2 linked regions of the Canis lupus familiaris genome follow. The protein of the gene in region 2 purifies or fractionates together with the protein of the main gene of each other region. This does not show direct contact. Links are inferred from orthologs where the notes say so. Each region holds a gene or a part of one and is shown on either strand. Other genes may lie near its edges.

What was found.
Region 1: the proteins of HSPD1 (region 2) and SIRT3 purify together in Homo sapiens (affinity purification with mass spectrometry; 3 studies listed by BioGRID and IntAct, counting the BioPlex papers as one, with this or other methods). This does not show direct contact. The link is inferred for Canis lupus familiaris from reciprocal best matches to the Homo sapiens genes HSPD1 and SIRT3.

Annotation. Positions count from the first base shown.
Region 1 is NC_049239.1:25,720,597-25,731,231, reverse strand, and holds the end of SIRT3 (NAD-dependent protein deacetylase sirtuin-3, mitochondrial), read left to right. Parts: intron 1-1,044; exon of another isoform or gene 1,045-1,099; intron 1,100-1,184; exon of another isoform or gene 1,185-1,278; intron 1,279-2,231; exon of another isoform or gene 2,232-2,346; intron 2,347-4,596; coding exon 4,597-4,758; intron 4,759-5,408; coding exon of another isoform or gene 5,409-5,432; exon of another isoform or gene 5,433-7,746; intron 7,747-7,752; coding exon 7,753-7,962; intron 7,963-9,334; coding exon 9,335-9,355; 3' UTR 9,356-9,866; downstream 9,867-10,635.
Region 2 is NC_049258.1:6,887,674-6,898,308, forward strand, and holds the end of HSPD1 (60 kDa heat shock protein, mitochondrial), read right to left. Parts: intron 10,579-10,635; coding exon 10,326-10,578; intron 9,268-10,325; coding exon 9,185-9,267; intron 8,655-9,184; coding exon 8,559-8,654; intron 7,908-8,558; coding exon 7,814-7,907; intron 7,547-7,813; coding exon 7,378-7,546; intron 4,945-7,377; coding exon 4,845-4,944; intron 4,289-4,844; coding exon 4,043-4,288; intron 3,642-4,042; coding exon 3,467-3,641; intron 3,046-3,466; coding exon 2,867-3,045; intron 2,784-2,866; coding exon 2,631-2,783; 3' UTR 2,157-2,630; downstream 1-2,156. UniProt on the Homo sapiens protein: Chaperonin implicated in mitochondrial protein import and macromolecular assembly. Together with Hsp10, facilitates the correct folding of imported proteins.

The sequences.
Region 1 (10,635 bases), on a different chromosome or scaffold from region 2:
TTTGCATGGACATGACTTTTCAGCATCTTTGGTAAATACCAAGGAACATGAGTGCTGGATTGTATGGTCGGTGCATGTTTAGTGCCTTTCAATGTGGCTGTACCACTTTCTATTTCCACCAGCAGTGAGTAAGAGCACGCAGCATTTGGTTTTGTCCATGTTCTAGAATTTGGCTGTTCTGATAGGTGTGTAATGGTATTGTGTTGTTTTAATGTGCAATTCCATGGTGACATATGATGTGGAGTATCTTTTCAAATGCTCATTTGCTACCTATGCATCTTCTTTGGTGAGCTGTCTACTCAGGTCTTTGGCCCATTTTTATTTTTTATTTTTTATTTATTTATTTATTTTTTCCATTTTTAAATTAGGTTGCTCATTTTCTTATTATTGAGTTTTAAGAATTTTTTGTATATTATGGATAACAATCCTTTATCAGATGTCTTTTGTAAATATTTTCTTCTTCTTTGAAAATATTGTCTTCTCATTTTCTTGACAGTGTCTTTCACAGAGCAGGGTTTTTCACTTTAATGAGGTCTAATATATTTTTCTTCCATGAATTGTGCCTTTGGTGTTATCTCTGAAAAGTCATTTGCTGCAACTCTTGCTCTGTGTAATAGCAGCAGAGGGGATCCCTGGGTGGCTCAGCGGTTTAGCGCCTGCCTTCGGCCCAGGGCCTGATCCTGGAGACTGGGGATCGAGTCCCACATTGGGCTCCCTGCATGGAGCCTGCTTCTCCTTCTGCCTGTGTCTCTGCCTCTCTCTCTCTCTCTCTCCCTCTGTCTCTCATGAATAAATAAATTAAATCTTTTTTAAAAAGCAGCAGAAACAAGTGGGGTGGGGGGGAGCTGTGGGGAAGCTGGGGTGGGGGAGCTGGTTGTTTAGAGGCCTCCATTTACTGGAGTGAAAATTGAGAATGATAGTGGTCTTTCTTTTAGGTGACTCATCTAGGATGCCAGAGAGGTGGTTTGCCAAATTAAATAAACCTGGAGTGTACAGTTTCTTTGAAGACAGTGTGGTGTCAGTTGTATAGTCATGAACATTTTCATCAGGCTTTTCTGTGCAAGCTTGAATCCTGTCCAGTCAGCAGGCTTAGGAAGAGGTACTGTAATCCTTTGGTGGAGATTTCTAGCGAGTTCTAGCACTTTGCCAAAACTTAGGCATCTGTTTCTCTCAATCCCTTTCAGGGTGCTCCCATTGAGCTGGTTTCATCCAGCGTTTGGTCTGACCCTCAGCAGCAAGCATGTGGACCAATTGATACAAATCTGAGAAATCAGATCAGTAAGTTTGAATAACTGTGTTAAATCTTCAGCAAACGTATAGGGTCCTCAGTCACTTTGGGAAATTGTTTCAGTACAGCTCCAAATTCAGCCTTAGTCCGGGCAGCATAAGCCATTTGGCATTCATTTGGACCTCCAGCAGAGTTTACTTTAGAGGGGTAGGTGTTAATAGGGTCAGGAGAGGAGGGGTGGGGAGAGGTTTGGAGATAAAGGGAAGCTCAGTGAAAGGATTAGAAGGAGGAATGGGTATAGGGGAGGGGAGGGCCAGTGCCAAAGGAAGAGGGAAAAGGCTCCAGAGGCAGGGCCCGAGTATAAGGTGGCCCCACCTGTCTGGAGACAAAGAGGATGGGAAGGGGAAGAGGCCTCAGAAGCCCCGTTGACTTCTTACAGTTGTTTGCCTCTTTGCAAAATACTATTTCTAAATTAACTGAGGCAAAACAAACTTTGAATCCTAAAAATGTTTGGAAGCCTTGAGGTACCAATTAAAATAAGCATCCAATTCAGTGTTGACAAGTTTCCAGCCATGGCTGTCCAATTCCATTGTGAGAAAAGTCAATTTGGGGAGATGGGAGGTTCCCCACGATGGCTGTTGAGGTTGTGAATGCCTTTTGGTTGAGTCAGTCCATTTAGTTAAGAATGCACACGAGGAGGGGCCACCATTCTGAAACCTAGAACTGGCTGAGGTCCCAGAAGTGTGGGGGCAAGGCCGTCCTCACAGCATTTTGATCGCTGGCATCCCACTTCCCAGAGGCTTTTCTCTAGAGGGAAGAGAACAATATCTAAACGGCACAGTTCCAGTAGGAACAGCCTAGCTTTAGAAAGGAGTCAGACCAAAGGCCAAACAAGTACTCTCAGGAAGGACAAAGCCTTAAAACAGGTCCTGAATAAAGGCTGGAGAGCTCAGAACAGAGAGTGAAGCTCATGTCCAGGAGACGACTTATTCTCAAACCCCAGGGCCGGCAAGAGAGCAGCAAGCCTGACCAGGTCTGTGGGGACCGGCACCTGTGTGTGTGCTCACCAGCCTCAGAGCCGCTGGAGGTAGCTGCCTGCGTCCCACTTCTGACACCAGGTAAAGTTTTCCTTAAAAATAACACTGCCTACTATTTTACCAACAAAATGGGTTTATTCAGGAGAGTGGAAAATTGTAATTTGGGACAAGCAAGCTATGACAAAACCGTAGGCACGTCCAAACAACAAAGGAGAGGGACATTTGATGGAGAGGAAGGAGTAGGGAGGGGCTTGAGAGACAGGTCTGGGGAATGATGGTGTCTCACCAGCTGATCGCTGGGGTAGCCAATTTGTTGTAGAGGGGGGGTGCACATCTTCCCCTGTTGGGACCTGCCGTTGATGGTTCTTCCTGTTGAGGGTTCTTCTGTTGGGTCTGTAGTTCACACTTCTTCGTGTGATTGATGTTTGAGCAGTAGGGCTCCTTCCGACCTCCTGAATCCACATTAGCAGGGTTTCCCTTTATTAATTTTCATAATGTCCAGCACCATTTGTTGAAGAGATGAGATTTGGTCCTTTGTCAAAGAAGAGTTGACTGTGTTTGTGTGAGGGTACTTCCAGCCTCTCTGTTCTGTTCCCCTGATCTATTCTTCTGCTCCCTACAATAGAGCCACAGTCCTGATTCCTGTGGCTTTTTATAATAAGTCTTGAAGTCAGATAGTGTCAGTCTTGTTCTTTGCCTCAATATTGTGTTGGCTATTCTGGTCTTTTGCTTTCCATATAAACTTTAGAATCAGTTTGTATCTGTTCTCTGCTTATTTTTAAATCTTTTCTCTTTGTCTTTGGAGTTTTAGAGTTTTACACTGTTACTGGGGTAACTCTCCATATGGATTTCCTTTTGTTTACTTATTCTGCTTAAAATTTATAGGGCTTTCTGAATCTGTGGTTTTCATCATTAGTGGAAAAATCCCTGGCTGTTGCCTCTCAGATGTCGATTGCATCTCCCACTCCCTCACCTCCCTTGTGGAGCTCTACTTAAACTCCCATGAGACCTCACGCTCCCACCCATGGCTCTTCTGTGTGTTCCATCTTGCTTCTCTGTGCTGTGTTCTGAATAATGTCTTTTGATCTATTTTCCAGTTTACCAACCTTCTATTCTGTTGTATAAAATAAGGTTCTTCCACTAAGTGCTAATTTTTGTTACTGTTTTTTGTTTGGAAAAGGTTTAATGAGATGTGAAACCTCAACCAGCTGTGGGCTCATTTCCAGATCTGAATTACTTGCCCCATTTTTTTCTTCCTAATTTTTATTTAAATTTAGTTAGTTAACATATATCACAGTATCAGTTTCAGGAGTACAACTTTGTGATTTATCACCTATATACAACACCCAGTGCTCATCACAATAATGCCTTCCTAATTTTTGTTACTTTTATTTCTAGAAGTTCTCTTTGGTTCTTTTTCAAATCCACTACATTATTTTTTATAGTTTTCTATCCCCAACAGATACTTCAAACCCTTTTTTTAAAAAAAAAGTTAAACACAAAATGGCCTTAATGTGTCTCTAATAGTATCTGAAGTCTCTGAGTAGTGTCTCCTTGGTCTGTTGTGTCTGCTGGTTCTGGCTGGGCTCAGCTTGCTAAGACAGGGCCAGGAAGGTTTGTCTTAGGAAGCTGTTGTCCTCGTTCTTAGGCTCCTTCCTTTGACACCCAGCCCAGCACATGAACACAGGCATCTTAGGGCAGAGCAGTGATTTGCGTCTACCTCACCTTGGCCTGCAAGCTAGTGGTCTGTGGCAACACTGCTTACAGCTCCTGCTTGAATGCCTTCCAGGTCTAGGGTGATGTCATGATCACTTCAATCAGGTACAAACTTTATACCAGCTTTCTCATTGAATCATGTTTAGTGTAGGCCAAATGCCTGCAGAGTACCTCCTGAGGACTGTGTCACATACTATTTCCTTAGCATCTGAATGTCTCTGATAAGCCCCTGAAGGGCACAGCCTGGCGTTACATGTGCTAGATATCATGGGCTCTTCAGGATGCACCTTCAAATACTCCAGTGTGTCCCCAGTTTCAGGGAGCCATTGAAACAAAATTGGCAAAATGTCAATAAATGCCAAATCTGGGTTCATTATTCAGCTGTTATGAATGTTTGAAAATTTCTTAGTAAAAGCAGTCTTTTTAAAAAGTTTTATTTAAATTAGGTAACGTACAGTGTTACATTAGTTTCAGGTGTACGATCTAGTGACTCACCTCCATACGTCGCCTGGTGCTCCTCACAGCAAGTGCACTCCCCACCCCGCCCCCTCCCGTCTGGCAGCCTGAGTATGTCGTGACATTGTCCTTGGCCTGTTGTCTATGTGTGTTGCACAGGCCGACGTGAGCATGGACAAGATCCCCCGCTGCCCAGTGTGCACTGGCGTTTTGAAGCCTGACATCGTGTTCTTTGGGGAGACACTGCCTCAGAGGTTCCTGCTGCATGTACTTGATTTCCCAATGGCAGATATGCTGCTCATCCTCGGGACCTCCCTGGAGGTTTGTCAGCAGGTCCAGTGGTGGACTGAGTGTGCAGGGGCAGGGGAGGCTATAAGGACAGGGCCGAGGAGGTGAGGCTGCTGGGGGTGGCACCAGCTGCTCTTGGAGCCTTCACATCTGGCGTCCTAGCTTCGGAAGATGAGTAGGTTCAACTGGTCGGGAAGCAGAGGTATTCCTGGCCAAGGGATTGGCAGTCTGGGCAGAATGGGGAAGAGGGAGGGTGCTCAGCTTTGGAGGCACCATCAGCATGGGTGGGGCACGGTGTGTAAGGGAAGGGAGGAAGGAGGGACCTGGAGAGTAGGGCAGGACAGACTTACCAGGCCACATCACAGAGGCTGGTTTTGTGCTAGAAGCGGTAGACTTGAAGTGGTTGAGCCAGGGGCTTAGCCAGTGCTCAAGGTCCCAGAACCTGCTGGGGAGTGGGGATTGAAGGAGATGCCTGGGAGGTGGGTTCTCATGAAGGTGAGGCTGTGGGCCCGGTCAGATCATCTGACCATGAGAGAGGGCAAAGAGAAGAACGGCTGGACTTGGGGACAGGAGATGGAGTGGTCTGGTTGTGTCTGTGGGCACTCAGGCCTTTTTTTGGTAACAAGGTATTTGGAGGGAGGGTTCCGAGCTCAGTTCTGTACAATTGTGTTTGAGGTACCTAGGACACACCTGTGGACACATTCTAGAAGCTGGTCTACCTCTAGATCTGAAGCTCAGGATGTGACAAGAGCAACAAACACGACCCTGTGATGAGCTCTGCCTGGTTGGGTGCTGGTGCCGAGGAGCAGAAGCGCCAGAAAGGCCTGTACTCTGTGGCCTGTGTGGTTGGCCACAGAGGCCTAGAGTTAGGTGCATTCATCCAGCAAATGCGCCCGCTGTGTGCCGGGCCCTGTTGTAGGGCCTTGGACAGACAATACGATGTTGCAAGCAAGTGACACAGTGTTAGGTGCTGACACATGGACAGGAAGGCTGGGAAGGGTTAGGAACTGATTGGGACATCAGCTTGGTTTCCATGACTGTCGGAAGGGGACCCCGGAGCTGAGGGCAGAAGGGGATGCACGTGTCAGCTGAGGGTGTCTGGCAGCAGGCACTGCGCAGTGGCCACAGCCACATGGAGTGAGCGAACAGAGGGCAACAGTGACAGGGTCTGACCTCCTGACCCCGCAGGTGTTGTGGCGGGGAGAGCTGCTGGAGACCCTGCAGGTGGTGGTCCGGGTGGCGATGGCGGGTGGCCAGGTAACGCCGCAGAGGGCAGTGTTCATACATCACATAGATCGAGGGCAAAGGAAGGAATCCCTCCACCCCCTCCAGCACTACGAGTGTTATGCGGTGTCCTCACAGCTTCTCTGCTGCACCTTGTGGTGACCTTTAACCAGAGGTGGGGCAGCACCATGCATAGAGACCAACTACCTTGTTAGCGCCCAGTGTCCCTGCTGGGACCCCCCAATCAGAGTGCTTGTCTCTAGCACCGAGTAATCTGCAGTATTGCTCCAACTTCATCTCATATGCTGTGTGGAAGAAATACTCAGCAATAAACTTGATTATTAATTGCCCCTCCAGATCCCACTGAGTTGTGACATAATAATTGTATATAAACCAAATGATGTTTTCTAAAATCTGAAATATTCTGAATTCTGGAACACACCTAGCCCCCAGAGTTTTAAGATAAGGGATGATGGATGAATAAGCAAATTTCTATTGATGGGCAACAAAAATAAAGTATATAGATTTTATATTAAAAATAATGATGTAGTGAATAACCAAGTGTACACATGTTCACACATTCATGTGAGTACCTCAGTAAATACTGAGAAGTTGCCTTCCAGAAAAATACACTACGTAAACTGTCACCAGTTGTATATGAGTGGCCATTTTCCTCATCCTCCCCAACAGCAAACATTACCTGTGTTTAAGTTTATCCATCTGATTTGGCTAGAAATTGTGTGTGTGTGTGAGAGAGAGAGAGGAAGAGAGGGAGATCTCACATTTCTGTAATATTGAAGTTCATCTTTTCATGTTTTATTAACCACTGTATTCTCTTTGGATTGAATATTTGTATCTCTTGCTCATTTTCATTCTTTTTTTTCTTAGTCATTAAATTAGCAATATAAATCCATAAATGATATAAAATGTTTAAAATTAGTTTAGCAATTAGCAATATTTGTCACATGTTGTAAAATGCTTGCAGTTTATGGTGATGAGGTTTAAAAATTATTTTCTACGTCGTATTTTTATGTAGATAATAATGTGATAGTATTATGTAGTCAGACCTATCATGACTTTCCTTTGTCTCATCTGACTTGACTTATCAGGCCTTAAGAGTCCTTTCCTACCTTTACTTATAAAACCTAAGTTTTCTTTAAGAATTGTTTTGTTTACATGTAAATCACGTAACATTTCTTTCACTCACCCGAAATTTTTTCAGCGAAGGCAGGAATTGAGCATTTTCCTCCCAGATAATAAGCCAGTCTCAATTATCTCTTTCTTATATTATTGCTTCTGAATGGAAATTTCACGTGGGAGCTGGATGAAGCAGCCCAAAGGCACCGAGTTGGGACTCCCTAGAAGTCTGAATAGTGGAGAGTGTGCAGAGGTGGGGCATCCACCCCTGTGGGTGCCCCAGGAGCCCCCTGTGAGCCCAGGTCCTTGCTCCCAAGGAGTGAGGGCAGACAGACGAGATGCTGCTGGGAGGAGACGTGTGTGGTGGGACAGGACAGATAAAAGAGGGCGCAGTTGCTGGACCCCAGATGCGCCTGGGCAGGGAGACCCGCAGAGGCCAGGAGTGTGGGAAGCAGAAGGACATGGACAGAGACATAGAGGGACCCAGGCCTAGAGCCCGGGCAGGCTGCGTGACTAGAAGGAAATGGTGGTGTATGTGCCCTGTATCCAAGGCCTTACCATCGGTCTGAGCTGCTCTTTCAAAGCCTCAGGCTGTGCATAACGTGTCCTGCGGGGCTTGGAGGACAGGGTGGGTGCTGGCCTCCTCACGTGTGGGCAATTTTTCAGGTAGAACCTTTCGCCAGCTTGTCTGAGGCTGTGCGGAGCTCAGTGCCCCGACTGCTCATCAACCGGGACGTGGTGGGGCCCTTTGCCTGGTGTCCTCGCAGCAGGGATGTGGTCCAGCTGGGGGATGTGGTTCACAGCGTGGAAAGGCTGGTGGAGCTTCTGGGCTGGAGAGAAGAGCTGCAGGACCTCATCCAGCAGGAAACCGAAAAGGTACAGACTGCAAGCAGGGTCCTCGCTGCTCTGGGGTCCAGGTGCCCCTGATGTGGAGCCCTAGCTGGCTAAGACAGTGACAGGAATAGCGCACATCGGTGTTAACCCAGTCCCGGCCACTGTCCGAGGCTGTCCGTGTGCTTATGAGAGCGACGCTGGCTGCCTGTTCCCCAGCGACGGAGCTGCGGTTGGGTGCGGGCAGACCGGCTGGGTCCTCTAAGTAAAGCACCGCCAGCAGCTAGCTCCAGGCTGAGTGTGGCTCGGAGATGAGCTTTGAGGAGCTGAACTTGTGTGTGCTGGTGTGGGGTGAAGCCCACCCTGGGAATGCACTCCTGTGATGATCACGAGAGCTGCTGGCCCGTATCGATCCGCTGTGGGTGCAAAGCCAAAGACGCTCGGTGCTCCTGAGGTTCCAAACCTGTTCCAAGTGAAGTTTCCCAGGAGAATCGGTTAGCATGCGTGGCCCTGGCGTGAGTGCTGATTTTCTAAAGGAGGCAGCATTAAGCTTTCGAAGTCCAGTCATCACTGAGGATCCTCATGTGACACCGCCCAGGGGGGCAGGGGTCTCGGGTCCGGGGTCAGGCCTTCCCCTCACCCTTCCGGGCAGAAGCCCCCAGCCTCTGGCTGCAGTCTGCTTTCTTACCAAGTTGAACCAAAGAAAGAATATAAGGCTTATTAAGGCCAGGAGACTTCCACACATTTTAGACATTGTGGCTGCTATTTTTTCTATCTCTCCATTCCAGAGTTTGGCTCTAATGGCTAAGATGTAGGCTGGTATCACCCCTTATCTTATTATAAATGTCAAAGTCATATTGCTGGATCATTTTAGGGAAGTAGAGAATGCAGGTAGCTCCGGAGCCTATACTTTGCACATCAGGAAGACAGGCAGCGGGTGCTTTGGTCAGATCCACCTAGCAGCTTCCTGGCTCTGACGTCCTATTTCCGTACAAGACTAAGCCAAGTGGCCCCCAAGGACTTTTGGAAGAAGTCCTACAGACTTTGGTCTGTGCGATTTTATAATCTTATGTGAAGATGTAATTAAAATCTTTATAATTTTATGTAAAGTGGGTTCTGGTTTTGGTTTACGCATACGAAGAGTTGCTATCCAATAGGAAATACCGAGGGATGAACTGCAGTCCACCTTGGGGTTAATTCCACAAATAATGCCTATTTTTGAGCTTGTGAGCTTCAGCACATCTCACCTGGTTACTTAAATGAAGCCCTGTGTTTTGCCGCCCAGCCCTGCTGGCATCGTGTTACTTGGGCTCAATGGCAGCATTGGCAGAGGCAGAAAAGCTTTTATTTGATTAAATAGTTGGAACCCAGGCCCTGAGATCTACAGGACTGATTCCCTTTCTCCTCCATGTTCCAGCTCGATGGACGGGACGGATAGGATCATGGCTGGTCCCCCACCCCTCCTGGGAACAGAAACGGTTCCAAGGAGTCACTGCCCACCTCTGAGTAAACAATTTTGGCTGAACCAGGACCGGTGGCCTGAGGAAGAGTGTGAGGCTGCCCAAGTCGTGTTCTGCTCACGCTGTGGGCCACCCCAATCATGGGTGCCAAGCTGCCGGCATCTTTCTGCTGTTTGACTCTTCAATCTGAAGCTCTTGATGCCAAACAAAAGCTTTCTTCTGACAGTGACCCTCTTGAACTCAGACCAGCAGGAAGCCCAGACTGAATCTGCTCAGTGTCCAGGTCTCCATCCGAAGGGCAGACTCAGCCTCTGTCCCTTAGACCTGGTCTTGGGCTGAGTGGCCACAGCTGTTCCCAAGGCGTGGTCCTGGGTCCGAAGTAATACAATAGGGTCCTATAGCCTGTTGGCCTCTTTTGTGGGGTTATCTTTAATTAGGGAAACATTGTTCATTTTTGGCATGAAATAAACACTGTGGTCTCCTCAAAGGGAATGTGAGTGTTGACAATGGATGTAGAAAGGGGACCTTGGGCGTGTGTGGACATTCCTCCCCACTGGAATAACTCAAGGATGGAGAACATGCCCCTGGATTCACCCTGGAGTGGGGCCTAGTGCCGTTTCCCACAGAGCCCCAGCACTCCTCATTGAAGGGCGTCGTACCTTGTTCACTCTACCTGGATGCCTCCCCCTCAGCTTCCCCAGCAGGCCTTCCCAGTAACGCCCCCAGGATTAACCTCTATGTGGTGGAAGGCGTTTCTGAGAAAACCTCAGCTGGCCCCTGGCTCACCCCGCACTTCTTGCTCCTGTTGAGGTTTCTTGTGCTGGGGCTGCCGCAAGGCCCAGCTTGGACAGCACCACTCAGGCACACCTTCCTGATCGCTGGCTCTTACCCTGTGTGTGGTCCCTCATGCTGGGCATCATTTCCCTGCCCGTGGCACACTTAACAGACTCCTCAAAAACAGATGTGACTAATGTTGTAGAAAAAGGGCTGAATTCTGAAAGGAATGAAATTAATTCCTCATACATAGGCTCCTGCTTGAAACTCTTTATTCCAAGATGGTGTTTCTAGGATGCTTTGTGGAACGTGATAGAAATCCAGACTTAGGGTTTTACAAGGTACATTTTCCTCATGTATTTATGGTCTACGCCAGTGGGAAGGTCAGGACTCCACTGTCACAAGCGGTGAGCGCTTGGGTGCTGTGGATACTAGAGCAGACGGCTGAGCGAGGACCTAGGATGCGGAAGAGGCTACCAGTCCT
Region 2 (10,635 bases):
TTTGGCTTCAGCTTTGGGAGGGGCAGGGGCTTCCTTCTTCGCCTTCGGCGCCATCTTCGTGAAAGGCCTGTTCCACCTGTTAGATTTCAGTTCTATTTTCCAGGTCCTTTGTCATAGTTTTAGTTAATTTCCAATAATGTTTTCTAATTGTTCCTTTTTGTTAGCTTCCTTGGTTTATGGCAGCAGGATCTCATCTTTAAGATACTATGATTTAGGGATGCCTGGGTGGCTTAGTGGTTGAGTGTCTGCCTTTGGCCCAGGGCATGAGATCCCAGAGTCCTGGGATTGAGTCCCGCATCGGGCTCCCTGCAGGGAGCCTGCTTCTCCCTCTCCCTGTGTCCCTACCTTTCGCTCGGTGTCTCTCATGAATAAAATCTCTAAAAAAAGAAGTTTCTCCTAGATCCCTTTTGGTTTTGCTATTCTTCATGTTGAGGCTTGTTTAATGGTGGTTTGTCCATGAATATTTGAAAGCAAGGGACGAGTGTATTGGCTGCGGAATTTCACTGTACAGCGATCGGGGGAGCCACCCTTTTCATCGGAGGGACTCTCAGAATCAGAAGTCTTTGTTTTACTACATGATTCTCTCTAGTCCTAGAGAAATACGGGAGTAGAAATGCTGGCTAGCTACCGGCATTCTGGAAGGTAAGTGATGGATAGAAGATAGAGTTGGGTTCCTAATGTATGGACGTCTCTGGCTACCGCTTTCAAGGGGGTTTACGACTGCCTAGATCCTGGCTTAGGGGTTCATTCCAGCCTGGCTCTTCGGTCTAAGAACGTAAGCTCTTCATACCCAGCTCCCATCGGAGGTTTACCACCTAATAGCTCGGAGACTTTGTATAAGCTACTTAACCTTTCAGCCTATTTACTTCGTGTGGCATAGGTTTAGTAAGGAGTCCCTAATCCAAGGTTCCGGACTTAAACCAAGTATTTAGTTCAGTGTCTAGCACAGAACACTAATTTTTTCCTCTGCTCGTGTCTTTAGGCTGGCCGTGCTCTAATCTTTTAAAGTCCAGGTGTTTTTCATCTCTTACCTTTTCTTATAATCACTTAGCTTGGCCTTTAAGGTAATTAACTATATAAACCCTTTCTCTAACGTTTGATATTGCTTTGCCTTTTGCTACTTCTACAGGCAAAACTATATTCTAGGCATGTCTTGCTTACTTAAAATGCCTTTTATTTAGTCCCCTTTAATCTGTTGTCATTCTGTTTCTAACCTGGGCAAAGCACAGGTAGTTCTAGGTGCAAATTTCAAGTGACTGGCTTTTGATCTGTGATTATTTTTCCTTTTGTCTGAGCTTTGCATACCAAGGGCATTTGCCTTAAACCGTAGCTTATCCCAGTCTCTAAAACGGCAGCCCCAAGGCCAAACTGAGCAGCAGACTAGGTCCTTTGGCACAGGTGAAAGCAAGAATGTAGATGTTAAACATGATCTTGTGCTTTCAATTTATAATGTAGTAAATCTAGAAAACAAAGTTATGTTTTAAAACTCATTTTGCCCCAAACATGCATTCAGCCAGTTTTAAAAATAAGCCACACACACACAAAAATTTAAAAAAGCCACATTTCCATCGATCCGGGGTCTCCAGGATCAAGCGCTGGGCTGAAGGCGGCGCTAAACCGCTGAGCCACCCGGGCTGCCCCTGCCTTAAATTCTTAATAAAGGTAAAGATACTGGATCAGGCCAGGCCTATCAAGTAAGGATGCCCTTCCCCACTACTAATGATGCTTGAAAGGCACACCTCTCTCCTTTCCACTTAGTACACTCCTACTACAAACTCTTCCCTTCTCACCTAACAGGAACCCATTTTTTTTCTTATAATCTCTACATGCAGTGTGGGGTTCAAACTCACAAACCCAAGATCAAGTCCCATGCTCTTCCAACTGAGCCAGACAGGTGTTCCAGGAACCCATTTCTTATTATGTGGAGGCTTTGAAGCAGGAATTATAACCTCCATAAGAAGGGACAAAGACCTCAACACACAAAATACTGTCCCCACAGGAACTTCCCATTACCTATGTTGTAATATAATCGTCTTTAGCAAAGAGAAACAGGAGACTACTCCAGGTAGAATAATGTTTTACACACTTGTGCCAAACTCTACCCCTCCATCCACTGGCTTTCATTTATCTTCTAGATCATGGAAAGGCTAACACAATTAACTTTAAACAAATTTTTATTACACAAAGGTTGTCACATAATTGGATATTTTTCTACTTTGTACACAATTATTCTTACTCTCCACAGAAAGGCTGCTTAACTTTTCATCTGGTGATGGCAAACACTAAAATCCTGATTTTAACAGAATAGTAGTAAAAATGCCTCAGTGATTTAAGTTGAAAGCAGTACATTGGTACATGGCTCTTGCACTCAGTTATCAGGAATGTACAAATGTCTTTTTATTCAAAAATACAAAATAAATTATCTGTAGGCATGGACAATGACAGCAGTAAACCATTATATGTTGTCAACTGAAACCAGTAACTGATGGTTATAGCGATTTTCTTAAACATCAGCCAGCCTTTTCTTCAGTCATTTCCTTGAACTGACTTCTCTGAAGTTATGGTTGAGGAACACAGCCTTGAGCTTCCTCTCACAGTTCATTAAGAATGGTAAAGCACTATTCTAGGAATCAGAACATGCCGCCTCCCATACCACCTCCCATTCCACCCATTCCACCCATTCCTGGGTCCTTCTCTTCTTTAGGAATTTCGGTGACTACAACTTCTGCCGTGGTTAACAGAGAGGCCACTCCAGCAGCATCCAATAAAGCAGTTCTTACCACCTAAGAAAGAAGTTTGATAAATATATTACCTTTTTCCTTAGTGAAAAATGAACAAGACTTTTAGAAAATGATCAACTATTTACCTTAGTTGGATCAATGATTCCTTTTTCCACCATATTCACAAAATCTCCAAGCATAGCATCATAACCAACTTCTGAGGAACTCTGCATAATTTTCTCAACTATCAATGATCCTTCAACACCTGCATTCTTAGCAATGGTCATTGCAGGAATTTTGAGTGTTCTCTTAATAATTTCGATACCTAAAGATAAAGTTTAGCAAATTATAGTTTCTTTTTTTCTTTTTTTTAAGATTTTACTTATTCATGAGAGACAAAGGCAGAAACACAGGCAGAGGGAGATGCAGGCCTCCTGCAGGGAGTCCCATGCGCAACTGGATCCCCAGTCGACCTGGATCACACCCTGACCCAAAGGCAGATGCCCAACCGCTGAGCCTCCCCAGGCATCCCCAGTTTCATTCTTTTGTAAAAATTAAAATTCTATTTGTCCACAGGTCAAATCATTCCCCCTGGACATGACTGCATCTTTCATTTATTTTCTAATTATCAGTGCTCTTCTAATGTTATTCTGGAATCTTTGTGGTTTATTGTTCTATTTAATGGGCAACTGCATTCTGAAAGACTAAAATCAGGTTGCAAATCAACTCATGAAAGGCAATTTTACCAATTCTTTGATCTTCATTAGCTGGAGTTATTGAATCCAAGGCTGGAATGCACCGAAGCAGGGCACAACCTCCTCCCAGAACAATGCCTTCTTCAACAGCAGCTCTTGTGGCATTGAGGGCATCTGTAACTCGGTCTTTCTTTTCATTCACTTCAACATCACTTGTCCCACCAACCTAATGATTAAAAGAATTCCAGTTAGTATGGGTTTTGCCCATTCAAGATGCTGACTGGCAAGAGTCACTGAAAAGCACGGAGTTCACTTAAAAACATGTAAAAAAAAGGTCGCCTATTTGTTAAAAGTGACTGCATGATTAAAGAGCTAATAGGGTCAGTGCAGTGTCTCACATCAGTCCAACACACTATCATTAACAAAACACCTTTTTCCTTAGCAATACCAAGTTCACTTCTGGCTTTAAGGGGAGTATTCCAAAAAAATTTTATATAATATATATCTCCATGACAAAGTTATTTCCCAAAACCTTTTGGTTACACGGCACTATTGGAGAGTACCACAGAAACAAAATCATTCTTGGGTTCAGAACCCAAGAAACTCATTTACAACAATGAATCTTACCTTCAACACAGCTACTCCATCTGAGAGTTTTGCCAGACGCTCATTCAGCTTTTCCTTTTCGTATTCACTAGTTGTGATATCTAACTGCTCAATGATTTCTTGAATACGTTTTTCAATTTGAGCCTTGTCACCTTTTCCTTTTAAAAGCATGGCATCATCTTTGGTCACAATGACCTCTCCAACTTTTCCTAAGTCATGAGGCTGAACATCTTCGAGATTTAGAGTCAACCCTTCTTCCCCAAACACCTACAAAAATATTTAAAAATGAACCCGTTGCAGCTTGGTTTTTCATTATACCAAGTTTATCAGTAATACATCAGGTGGGTTTTTTGAGGAGATAAACATCTTAGAATACTGTATTTCTTTGAAATGTGAAATTTCAAGACAACGTCTAGTCCAGAGAAGACTTGATCAGGTTTTTCACTGCATTTCCCACTTCTCACTTAATCCTCAATCAGAATTAATTAGCTTTATTTCAGAAAAGTATAAACTCAATTCCCCTGAGGTCACACTTTTGGTGGAACCAGGACTAGACCTTAGACCTAAACAATTAAGTCCTATGTCTTTTCTATTGTATTGAACACAGATTAGTCAAATAATCCTATTCTTGGGCTAGACTCATAGCAAGTTAGAGAAGGGACCTGGGCACATTTAATCAAACCTTTACCTCGAAAACATCCAACAGAAACAAAAATGAATAGTTAATAATAAATGATTGTGAAAAACCTAAAATCTACCTATAAATTTTAGGCCTGGAAGTATATAACATTCAGTAAACCAACATCACATATATTTTACTTACTGCACCACCAGTAGCAATAGCCATATCTTTAAGCTGGTTCTTTCTATTGTCACCAAAACCTGGAGCTTTGACTGCCACAACCTGAAGACCGACTTTTAGCCTGTTAAGAACAATAAGAATGAGATTTAAAGTTAATTAAAGTTCTTAGTACTAAGATTACTTAGGAAACCACACTTTTTTTAAAAAAGGTTTTATTTATTTGAAAGAGTGATGGGACGCCTGGGTGGCTCGGTGGCTCATGGTGTGATCCCGGGGTCCTGGGATTGAGTCCCACATCAGGCTCCTTGCAAGGAGCCTGCTTCCCCTCTCTGCCTATGTCTCTGCCTCTCTCTCTCATGAATAAATAAATCAAATCTCTTTAAAAAAAGAAAGCGAGCACATGAATGGGGGTGGGGGGGTGAGGCACCCAACATGGGGCTCAATCCCAGGACCCCCGAGGACCATGATCTGAGCTGAAAGCAGACATATAACTGACTAAGCCACCCAGGCACCCCTGGAAACCACACTTTACAATTTTTTGCTTCCTACCAACTTTTAGTCAAATTAAGACATGAAAGAGCAACTTTCCATTCATCCATATTTGCCATTACCTTTGTCAAAAATTGTTGACCTTACGGTTAAACTGAACCCAGGAAATAAATGCTAACATAAACAAAAAACTTTTAAGTTAACTACAGTGATAACTATACCCTATTTGTTCTATTTAGTAATGGATCAAGTTACTACTGAAGTTTGAGCAGTGTTCTTAATTCAGTTCCTTTACATATATAAGTGTTGCTGATAAATAGCATTAAGTTCACCTGCGATTTTATCATGTAATGAATATCTGGAATATATAATCAAAGGAATGTCCACTTGAGACCACACTGTGTGAAAAAGGAGTATTTAAACTGTTAAAGACAGAGTTGGTCTATTTTATTAAAGGGCCAAATAAAAATCAGAGGGACAGATAAACATAGTATGCCAAATCAATCAGCCATCCAAAGCTACAGACACCAGTAGATGGCTCAATGAAACTCTGGAGGTCTATTTTTTTTTTAATTTATTTTGACTTAAAATCCCACAATCTCATAAAGCTTTTCATAACCCAAAAAGCAAATCCAAGCTAACAAACATTCAAGGATAAGTCAACTCATTCGGAGCTTTTGTGTCAAGGTATGCACTCTCCCATATAACTATTTCATTTGTCCATTTCCATTACAATTGGAAAATTATTACTTCTAGAGCAGCCCAGGGGGCTCAGCGGTTTAGTGCTGCCTTCAGCCCAGGGCGTGATCCTGGAGTCCCGAGATCAAGTCCCACATCGGGCTCCCTGCATGGAGCCTGCTTCTCCCTCTGCCTGTGTCTCTCCTGAATAAATATAATCTTCAAAAAAAATTATTACTTCTAATATACCTCAATTCTAGGAATAGGAAGAATATGTATTTTAAAAACGTTCTAATATTCTTTCTTAAAATTTAATCTCCACACCCATGTGGGACTCGAACTCACAATCAAATCAAGATCAAGAGTCACATGCTCTTCTGACGGAGACAGCCATGCACCACAGTAAGGCCCTAACACTTTTATAGCAGGAGCTACTAGTCGTAAAGTAAAAAATCATATATTATAGTTTAAAAAATTAAGCGAAGAGACTTTATCTTAGATTGAATGTCAAATTCTCTATTTCAGACCATTAATTAAAATGTCCTTTGATGGGATGTCTGGGTGGCTCAGCAGCTGAGCGCCTACCTTCAGCCCAGGGCTGATCCTGTGGTCCCAGGATCGAGTCCCACATCGGGCTCCCTGCATGGAGCCTACTTCTCCCTCTCTCTGTGCCTCATGAATAAATAAATAAACTCTTAAAAAAAAAAAAAAAAGTTTTGGGATCCCTGGGTGGCGCAGCGGTTCAGCGCCTGCCTTTGGCTCAGGGCACAATCCTGGAGACCCGGGATCGAATCCCATGTCGAGCTCCCAGTGCACAGAGCCTGCTTCTCCCTCTGCCTATGTCTCTGCCTCTCTCTCTCTCTCTCTCTCTGACTATCGTAAATTAAAAAAAAAAAAAAAACTTAAAAAAAAAGTTTTGAGATTTGCTTTATTCATGAGACACACAGAGGCAGAGACCCTCTCCCTCTCAGCAGAGGGAGAAGCAGGCTCCCTGTGGGGAGCCTGATGCAGGATTTGATCTCAGGACCTCGGGATCACAGTCTGAGCCAAAGACAGTCAACCATTGAGCCACCCTTAAAATTTTAACAGATTATGTAACTAAATACGTTTTGACCTAAAATTGAAAAAAACCAATAGTTATAATTAAAAAATAGGTATCACATTCAAAATTAGGCTGTCTTATGAAAAACTTGCACAAAATATTAAGGACTTTCAAACAGAACTCATTCAAAAAGAACAAACCATTTTAACAGAGCTCACAAAGCATACCTGTATATATGCTAACACAAGTGGTGCAATGTGGGGGTACAAAAAGAGGATTTCAAACACCAATATAAAAAAACTTCCTTTCATCTGGAAATGTAAACCAAATACGAAAGCCTATTACCTATTTAAAACAAGTGTACTCAGAGCTTCTCCATCAACATCTTCAGCAATTATGACCAAGGGCTTACGGTGAGCATTGGCAATTTCAAGAGCAGGTACAATGGACTGGACACTAGAAATCTTCTTTTCACTCAATAGAACATAGGCATCTTGGAATTCACATTTCTGACCTGCAAAAATAAACATTTCAAACCAATTTAAGACATTATAACAATATCCTGAAAATAACTGCAATTTAGTTAAGTGAAAAAACTAGAAACCAAAGTTTTAGTACATCTCAAGTGACTGAGTTCATGTTTTCCCCTTCATTTCTCATTTACAATAACTTTTGGGATACCTAAGTTTATCTTTTAGAAGTATGACCTGATTAATGCTTACAGTGTGACCCATGGCAACCTGTATATTTTTTTAAATTTCATTTACTGACTTGTTCTTACCTTTCGACGTATTAATAAAGTATGGAGAAATATAGCCTCGATCAAACTTCATGCCTTCAATAATTTCCAATTCATCATTCAGTGTTTTTCCATCCTATAAAAATCAATTAGCTGTATGAATTTCATTACAGAAACACAAAAAGTTGTAATTATAGACCAGATTAGGAGACCGCACTGATCACAAGGGATCCAGGCGTGTAAGTATGCAAATACCCTAGGGGATCAAACTGCAATTTTGCAAAAATTTCAAAAATGCATTTTTAAATTTTTACATCTAGAAGAATAGTATTACTTAAGTTACAACGGATTCCTCCCTCACAGGGAAGGTTAAAAAATTCACACAGGGATCCCTGGGTGGCGCAGCGGTTTAGCGCCTGCCTTTGGCCCAGGGCACTATTCTGGAGACCCGGGATCGAATCCCACATCGGGCTCCCGGTGCATGGAGCCTGCTTCTCCCTCTGCCTGTGCCTCTGCCTCTCTCTCTCTCTGTGTGACTATCATAAATAAATAAAAATTTAAAAAAAATAAAATAAAGTGATAAAGTTTATAAAAAATAAAATAAAATAAAATAAAATAAAATAAAATAAAATAAAATAAAAAATTCACACACAATTCAGGAAATACTCTAGTCTATGTGAATGCTAAAACATGCATAAAGGAATCAAGCATGAAACACATCAATTTTTCTATTTGAAAACTGTTTTGATCAGACAACTCATCTCAAGCTATCATTAAAAACACTTACCTTTACTGTGATGACACCCTTTCTTCCAACCTTTTTCATTGCATCAGAAATGATGTTGCCAATTTCTTTGTCTCCATTCGCAGAAATCGTAGCAACCTAAAACAATCAAGTTACTCTTCCAAGTTACAAAGATAAGGCCAGCATCCTCAGTCAGCTCCCCTCCCTTTTCCTAGTAACTTCAAAACTGATATATTGGGGCAGGGGGAACCTATGGACAAGCAGATGTGTTCTAAGAGATCTAACAATTATTTTTAAACTTACCATTTGGCTACATTATTTTTAAAAGAAATAAAATAAACATATCATTCTTTTTTTTTAAAAAAAGGGAGAATATCCCCCCTTCTTGGAAAAAGTGGCAATATTCTAACATGACAAAAATTATGCACCTTTTGACAAATGGCTGAAGAACATCTTCCATACAAACAAATGAGTTTTACTCACAGCCATGTAAAATTAAAGTGACCACTAAGACTCTAGTTATGGTCACTGCATTATTTTCAGATGTTTTTTAAGCAGGAAGAAGAAATGCTTTCCATGTCAAGTGACTGGGTGATATCATTATTCTGACACTGGTATAGGATTATGGAATAAAATCACATTTATCATAAAATATGAAAAATCCTTACCTGTGCAATTTCTTCAGGGGTTGTCACGGGTTTAGACTGCTTCTTAAGTTCAGCAATTACAGCATCAACAGCTAACATCACACCTTATTCAAGAATAAATGCCATTACAAAGCTTATTCTCTCAGGGCTCCACACCAAGTAAAAATTTCAATCCAGGGATCCCTGGGTGGCGCAGCGGTTTGGCGCCTGCCTTTGGTCCAGGGCGCGATCCTGGAGACCCGGGATCGAATCCCATGTCGGGCTCTCGGTGCATGGAGCCTGCTTCTCCCTCTGCCTATGTCCCTGCCTCTCTCTCTCTCTCTGTGACTGTCATAAATAAATAAAAATGTTTAAAAAAAAAAAATTTTTTTTAAATTTCAATCCGTGTTAAATGTTTTAATGTTAATGGCCTATATAATGCATCTATGCCAGCACTTTTCCTAATTGCATGGAGTTGAATGGCACGCACCAAAACAGGAACGTTAGTAAGTGAAGACTCACAAGCCAAAATTATTTTGAAAACTGGACTAAAGGAAAAATACCAAGAGCATAATTTCAAGAATTTCACCATTCAACTCATTCTATGTAAGCTATTGACAATCCATCATGTTGCAGGTTTCCAACAGGGTCACCTAACACTTCCCTCAACTCTATGACAGGGTTATGCCCCTACAGCTTTTAATTATCCAAAATTTTCTCATTTAATATATAATCAAAAAATTTGCTTTAACAGTCAATAGGATCACAACATGGATTTATGAGAACCCAATTTTGTTCAACGAGTAGGATTAGTTCTGGCTCTTCCCTTTATTTTGAGAAATATAACTTAAAGAAAAAATCCAGGGACGCCTGGGTGGCTCAATGGTTGAGCATCTGCCTTCAGCCCAGGGTGTGATCCTGGAGTCCCAGGATCGAGTCCCACATCAGGCTCCCTTGCAGGGAGACTGCTTCTCCCTCCGCCTATGTCTCTGTCCCTCATGAATAAATAAATCTTAAAAAAAAAAACCAAAAAACTAGCATAGTACCCATCGCATAAGGCAGGCATCTAATTGCTATTTGCCAAAGGAAAACTCAATTTAAGACTTTTTTTTTGAGAGAGGAGAAACAAGACTTAACTTTAAGACACTTCAAAACACTGGCAACAATGAAGAGACTTTCCTACCTCTCCTGATTTCCACAGGATTAGCACCTTTGCTAATCTTCTCGAAGCCTTCCTTGGCAATAGAGCGTGCCAAGACAGTAGCAGTAGTGGTGCCATCCCCAGCCTCTTCGTTTGTGTTATTGGCAACATCTTGAACAAGTTTAGCGCCAATATTTTTATATTTGTCTTTTAAGTCAATTGACTTTGCCACGGTCACACCATCCTTTGTTACTTTGGGACTTCCCCAACTCTGCTCAATAATCACTGTTCTTCCCTATAATTAGAGGAAAAAAAGTGACAGAATCACATACCTGAGTGCATTTAGCTTGAA